2 linked regions of the Sus scrofa genome follow. The protein of the gene in region 1 purifies or fractionates together with the protein of each later gene. This does not show direct contact. Links are inferred from orthologs where the notes say so. Each region holds a gene or a part of one and is shown in the gene's direction. Other genes may lie near its edges.

Region 1 (3,242 bases):
AAACAGGAGCCCATGAGCATTTGCGTGAAGGACTCGGCAGTAGGTGTGCCGAGATCCTCCCCTGGCTTTGAGGTCAGAAGATGAGAAAGCAACCTAGGCAGACCGTTTTTGTTTTCCAGCGTGGCTGCACAGTTGGTGTTGTGATTTTGACAGAGCAAGGGTTTCATCAGCTCACAGTCCTTGGCCCTTCCCAGGGCCCCTGTGACTCATGGCACCAAGCCCTCACGCCTGGCCAGAGGCTGCTCCACCTCAGGGGACATTACAGTCTCACTTGCCCACAGTAATTTAAGAATCTCAGTCTCCAGTTCCTTCTGCTTTCCCATAGCAGCCAACCTTAGCTCTTTGCATGGTGTGGGCCAAATTCCCAGTGTCGACGGACGATGGCCAGGAAGAGCTGGCAGGAGTGTAACATTGCGGCCACAGCATCCTAAAGGCCGCCCCTGCAACGTCCTCAGAGCCCCCCCACTTCACTCCACGTTGGGTTCCTTAGGGAGCTCACAGCCGCTCCCCTGACGGTGACCTTGCCTGCCTTCCAGGTGTGAAAGTCCAGATCCAGTCTCTCAATGGCGAACACCTGCACATCCGGGAGTTCCACCGGGTCAAGGTGGGAGACATCGCAACTGGCATCAGCAGCCAGGTAAGGGGGCAGGTGCCTGTTCAGGGGCGGAGTCCCAGGATCCAGCGCGCCTCGCCCAGTCCTCCAGGAAAGAGGCTTTGGAATAAGTAGGAATGGCACTGTTGGGAGGTCCCCCCAGGGTCCCAGGGCAAGACTGCTTCCTCAGGGTCTGTACCTGGGCCGGGTCAGGTCTTCCAGAAGGAAAGGCAGATAGTGCAGATAGTCAGGGCTGCCGGCTCGGCCAGAGGTGGGTGTCTCCCGGCGCGAAGGCAGACCATCCGCTCTGTACTCCCAGGAAGCTTCAGCTCCCCTGCCGCTCTGAGGCCTCTGGTTTGCTCTGCCCCCAGATCCCAGCCGCAGCCTTCAGCTTGGTCACCAAGGACGGGCAGCCCGTGCGCTATGACATGGAGGTGCCAGACTCAGGCATCGACCTGCAGTGTACCCTGGCCCCTGACGGCAGCTTCGCCTGGAGCTGGAGGGTCAAGCACGGCCAGCTGGAGAACAGGCCCTAACCCGCCTTCCACCACCGGCTCCACTCAGCCAGAAGCAGCCTTCCTTCTTGGTGCTCAGTGCCACCCCTGCGACCCAGGCTCTGCCCCCAGGGGTCTGCCAGCCCCTAGCTCAGCGGTAGGACCAGGGACTGGCCGCAGTAAGGTGGGGCTCACAAAACACCTCCCAGGATCTCCCACCTGTGTGCTGCCTGAGCCTGCCTGAGGAAGAGGAGGAAGGCAGGAGGCCTCTTCCCTCTGGGAACAAAGAGGATTTTTCTGCCTTGGTCCTGACAGGCTGGCCTGACCCGTTAGGATCAGTGACTACGTGCTGGCAGTCAGGGGAGAACGGCTTCCACCGGGTCAGGGAGGGGTGGGCGAGCCCCTCCCTCAGCCTCCAGGCAGGTATGAGGGTGTGTAGCGTCTAATGACCCACCCGCAGGCCCAGTACAGGACTGGGCGGCAGGCGTCCCTGCCCTGGGGTTCATGGGGAGCCCTCTGAGCCCCTTGCCCGGTCTTGCCTGGCCATCAAACGCCTTTTTAGCTCCAGAAATTTTTCAGACCAGGTCAGGGAGGGAGGAGAGCCTGCCACTGGGGGATCTCCCGGGAGAGAGCACCCCACTTCTCAGGGTGCTGCAACCCAGGCCCTGAGCTGAGTTCAGCTTCAGCCAAGGACCAAAGAAGTCGTTCAGGTGACATGGTTCTCAGTGCCTAGGCACGTGCCCCTTTGCTGCTGGCCACCAGTCCTCCCCAGAGCAGCATCCCCTGAGCCCCAAGCGCAGGCCCAGCACTGCCCTGACCTAGCTGGCCCGCAGCTCCCTTGTGTGTAGAAGTGAAGTCGGACACGAGGCCTCTCGGGACTGGTGCACAACAGACGCGAAGGAAAGCGGCGGACACAGGTGCTACTGTTCCCCAGGCCGCGGCTCTCAGCATCTGCACCCCAGCTTCCTAAGACACGGCTCGGGCACCACGCTCACTGACCCTGTCCCCCCTGGTCTCGGGGGCACTGCCAGCTGCACTTTGCACTCTGATGACCTCAAAGCACTTTCGTGGCCGCCTTCCAGGAGAGGAGGGCAGGCCAGGTGACAGGACTCAACTCTTGACCCTTCTCCATGCATGTGACCCATCAAGCTTCCTCCAGATGCCTTTCAGATGAGATGCCACCCCCACCCATCGCCTCGGCCTGGCCTCTTCTTTTGGTGGGGTGCTAATCCGGACTCATGTAGCATTAATCAACTGTGAATCCCTGTGTGGTGAGGGGCCTGCGAGCCTCAATTCCTGGGGGTGAGAGGGTGTCCCCTGAGAGTCCTCCTGGGGAGAAGTTCATCCCCACATTCACCAAGGTGGCCTCTGTCCACCTATCCACATCGAGCCATAGTGCTCCCCAAGGGGAGACCCGCAGCCCCTGTTCCTGCAGAACCACAGCCTTGGTACTGTGGAGTTCTCGCGGCAGGGGACTCTGAGCAATAAAGTTTGGAGTGATAACTGTTTAGGCCAAGGTTGTTTCCACTCTTGCCTGTCCATTTGCTGAACCTCGTGTCCTAACAGCTGCCTTTTTTTTTTGGCCTGGCCCATGGCATGCAGAAATTCCTGGGCCAGGGATTGAACCTGTGCCACAGCAGTGACAACAGTGGATTCTCAACCCACTGAGCCAGCAGGGACCTCCTCCCTTTGCATTCTTGGTGGGATCTTATCAAGTCTCACCCCTTAGGGCCCTTGAGCAGGGCTGCTTTTCCCACCACCCCTCCCGGTGGGTGCTTCCCATCCCACCTCTGGGCTCTCCATTCAGACCAGTTAGGCAAGATAACCCCACCTGGTGACAAGCAGGGAAGTCCCTAGCCAAACACCGCCAGGCTGAGGGGAGCGGGAGGGGGACTCCAAGGCCTGGGCACTGACCAGGCAGGACTAGGTGGGGGCAGGGCCCCGGAACAAAGACTGCCCCCACCCACTTCCCATCCCTAAGGCCTGGCTTCCTGGGAACTGAACTGAGAGTGGGCCTGGACTGCCGGTCCTTGCAGCTGCTCCAAGTGTCCGCAAGTCTCTGAGTCTCTGTCTGAGCGGTCAGAGATGACTTTCCCAAAGTGGGTTCCTTGGTGGGGACACAGGACTTGTTTGAGGATGGATGCCGCCCACACATA
Region 2 (3,920 bases), on another chromosome or scaffold:
ATTTCTATGCAGCCTGAGCGCCAGCCCCTCGGACTTCACTCTGCCTCCTTTCCTTGGGAATTGCTCACCACAAGGCCTGGCCAGGAAAGTGCCCATGTGATAAAACCAGCGCTGCTGCTGAGTCCACAATCTCCCCGCAGCCCCTGGCTTTAAGTCCACAGCCACTGAGCTCCTGGACAGGGACACCCCTGTGGAAGGAGACGCATCTCACCAGAGCCTCGCCTCTCGGGGAAGGTGCAGGCCCCTGGTGAGCATTTCCTGCCCTGGCAACGCACCATCCCCACCCAGTGTGTGACCTTCCCCAAGAGTGAGAGGCTTCCAGGCCTCTGAGGCCGTGGGCTGTTCCCCACCCCTCCCCATAGCAGGAAGTGAGGGCTAGTGAGGGTCTGGAGGGCGTGATGAGGTGCTGGGAGGGTGGGTGGAGGTGACCCCTAATCATGTGGAAACTGCACTGGGCTCAGCCACATCCTTCAAGGTATTTTGGAAATTTGGGGGTCAAAGCTATGTCCTGGCTTTTGGGTCTGAATTGCTGACACAATTTGGCAGGCAGGGCTTCTGGCCCAGAAGGAAGGGAGAGGGCCCTACCCTCACTGCCGGCCCAGAAAAACCAGCCCCAGGGTTGCACTGGGGCCTGCAAGAGCCCCCAGGCTCCCTGGCTGGGATTGTTCCTCGCAGGTGATTTGCCTCAAAGCCACCTTTTGGTCATATCCCTGCCCCACAGTTGCCTGGATGAGGTCTTGAGTGGACCCTAGAGGTGGCCCAGGCAGGCACTGAGGTGCCTTTGGTGGGTATGCTGGGCTGGTGGCCAGTTATGGCTGGAGTTGGATAACAGTTGTGGATATTCAAGTATTTGGAAACAAGAGTCCAATGTTAAAATGGCAGCCATAGCCTAGGAAACAATTTGCACTTGCCCTTTAACATGCTTAACTTTCAGCCATTTAAATGATGCCGAAGTGATTCTTTTTTCTAAGCCCTTGTCATGTGACTGCAAGTAACTGTAGCACCAATTTAGAGAAAACTCATTCTCGGCCCAGCCCAGGGAAGGAGTGGCCTACAAGGATGAGGTCGGCAAGGCAATCCCTGGGAGACACTGCTGCCTTTCCCCCGGGGCCTGGGTGCTCACCTAAGACTTGGGCGTTCAGCTGTTTTCCTAACAGCAAGGCTTCTGACTTGGGGTTTTTACTCACACGGTCTTCCCAGCAGTTCTATTTATATCAGCATATCCGAGTTGGGACTGACATTCCTCAAGGACATTAAAGCTACTGGAAAGGTCTTAATTCCAACCCGTAAGGGATCATCTGTACAACATGCTGGTGGACTCGGCTTCAAGAACCCGGCTGTCTGGACACATTTCAGACATCTGTGGGTGATTTTTAAGATGCATGCCAAACGTGTGTTTTGCTTTCTCCAATGATTTGTAATATACCTTTTATGACTGGAAACTTTTATACAACACTCCAATAAACATTTTGGTTTTAAAAATCTCCCTCTGAGTTCACTCCGACGCCAGCCAGCTGGAGCGGGAGCTCTCATCCTCTAATGTTCCTAGTTTGACCCGCTATCCTAGTTTTTGGCATTCCTCACCCACGGGTTTCACCAACGCCCCTTTGGCCACGTGACACGCCCATGTCCCTCCCCGGGCTCAAGGTCTAGTGTAGAAGTGCCCGCCGCCTCGTGCGCACGCGCGGCGAGACCCGCGGGGGGCGGGGCCTGAGCGCGGAACCCTGGGCCTCCATCCGTCTCGGGGAAATCGGCGGCGGCCTGCTCCTGTTGCGCATGCGCGGGACTCCCCCCGCGCGGTAAGGGTATCCCGCCCGCCCATGCTCCCTCGTGCCCGGACTCCATTTCCCGTGGGTCCACGGGGCGGCCCACTTCCGGCGCGGGTTGGGGAGGGCGCACGCGGCCGCACTCCAGTTGACTTTGCGGAGATATGGAAGGCGGCTTTGGCTCGGATTTCGGGAGCTCCGGCAGCGGGAAGCTGGACCCGGGGCTTATCATGGAGCAGGTGAAAGTGCAGATCGCCGTGGCCAACGCGCAGGAGCTGCTGCAGGTTCGGGGCCGGGCCGGGGGCGGGGCTGAGGGTGGTCGGGGCCCCTGGGAGAGGAGTCGCAACTGAGCGCTCGTGTGTCCCCACAGAGGATGACGGACAAGTGCTTCCGGAAGTGCATCGGGAAGCCGGGGGGCTCCTTGGACAATTCGGAGCAGGTAAAACCCAGGGAGCCAGACTGGTCGTGGGCCCCGACCGACAGGGAGGTCTCTGCGCCTGCGCGGACTAACGGGGCGGTGCGGTGGGCACGTGCGCAGTCCGCTGCTGGGAGTGTTGGGGGTCCCAGCCAGCGGTCCAGACCTGAGCCCCGCGCCCTCCCCGTCCCTAGAAGTGCATCGCCATGTGCATGGACCGCTACATGGACGCCTGGAACACCGTGTCCCGTGCCTACAACTCTCGGCTGCAGCGAGAACGAGCCAACATGTGATCGCGACGCGCCAGCAGCCCACTTCCCACCCCACCCCACTCCCAGTTCCATCTCCATAAATGCTGTTTGTGAGGCGGGGGCCAACGTGTGCGTGCTGCCTGCCAGAAGTTTATGAGGACCAGACTGGTGCTGGGACAGTTGGTATTCTGTTTCTCCGTGCCCCGTTCGCGCACACGTGCCGGCGAGTGTAACTTGCGTCTGGGGGGCCCCTGGCCCGGGTGGTGCCTTCCCTAGTGCCCCTGTTACCGAATTGTGTCATATGGACCCTGTTGGGGGCCGGCTTAGGCTCTATGTCTCCTAGGGGGTGTTCTTTTTCTGTTCCGTGGAGCCTGAAGCTGAGATGGACACAGCACAAGCTTTATTCAGCAGTTAAAGTATGGAGACGCGTGAACAAACGAACTCACAGATCAGCTTCTTAGCTGGCGAGAGGGGCTTAATTTTAACAAGGAGGCCTGTGTGTATGTCTACGCGGGAAGGGGCTGAGCTTTTTCCGAGGGAGTGGGGTGCCACCTCTTTTTTATCTTTTTTGGTCTTTAATGTCTGGTCGAGGCTGCGGATGCGTGTGTTATTTAATAAGCTAATGTAGTAAAATCCACACATAATGAGACAGCGTTTGTTGGAAGTCAGATTTGCCACCATTTTCCTCCCAGCAGGGTTTCGTGGTTTTGTTTTTGTGTGTATGTGTCTTCGTGTTCTATGCATTAGGATTAACTGAAAGTTAATCTTTAAAGATTTCTGTTCACTCCTACTAAAAGGTGGGGTGGTGGTTGGCAGGTTTTGAGCAGGGACCTCCTTCCTGCAAAAGGTCAGGGTGGATAGGTTGTGAGGAAAGGGCTGGAGCAGCTCTGGTGACAAACTACTCCCTTCCTTATTATTGCTCATTCCTTTTTTTTTTTTCTTCTTCTTTTTTTTTTTTTTTTTTAATGGCTGCAGGTGAGGCCTATGGAAGTTCCTGGGCCAGGGATTGAATTCAAACCAAAGGACTTCCCTTGTGGCTCACAACATAACTACATGGTGTTGTTTCTACAGTGGCTGTGGTTCTGTCCCTGGCTCGGCAATTTCCATATGCTGCAGGAGTGGCCAGTTGTTATAAAAAAAACAAAAAGAAGAAGAAGAAGAATGAATCTGAGCCAAAGCTATGACTTACGTTACACCTGTGGCAATTCAGGATCCTTTAACCTGCTGTGCCAGGCCAGAAACTGGAGCCGCTGCAGCCAGATTCTTAATCTACTGTGCCACAGTGAAAACTCCCTGCCCTCATTCTTTTTTTTTTTAATTTTTAAATTTTATTTATTTATTTATTTATTTATTTTTGTCTTTTTGCTATTTCGTGGGCCGCTCTCGCGGCATATGGAGGTTCCCAGGCTAGAGGTCGAATCGGAGCTATAGCTGCCAGCCTACGCTGGAGCCACAGCAACGCAGGATCCGAGCCGAGTCTGCGACCTA

The links.
Region 2: the proteins of MAP3K14 (region 1) and TIMM13 purify together in Homo sapiens (affinity purification with mass spectrometry; 3 studies listed by BioGRID and IntAct, with this or other methods). This does not show direct contact. The link is inferred for Sus scrofa from reciprocal best matches to the Homo sapiens genes MAP3K14 and TIMM13.

What each region holds. Positions count from the first base shown.
Region 1 is NC_010454.4:18,180,338-18,183,579, forward strand, and holds the end of MAP3K14 (mitogen-activated protein kinase kinase kinase 14), read left to right. Parts: intron 1-536; coding exon 537-637; intron 638-963; coding exon 964-1,128; 3' UTR 1,129-2,594; downstream 2,595-3,242.
Region 2 is NC_010444.4:76,145,083-76,149,002, forward strand, and holds TIMM13 (mitochondrial import inner membrane translocase subunit Tim13), read left to right. Parts: upstream 1-1,863; 5' UTR 1,864-1,930; coding exon 1,931-2,050; intron 2,051-2,136; coding exon 2,137-2,205; intron 2,206-2,375; coding exon 2,376-2,474; 3' UTR 2,475-3,081; downstream 3,082-3,920. UniProt on the Homo sapiens protein: Mitochondrial intermembrane chaperone that participates in the import and insertion of some multi-pass transmembrane proteins into the mitochondrial inner membrane.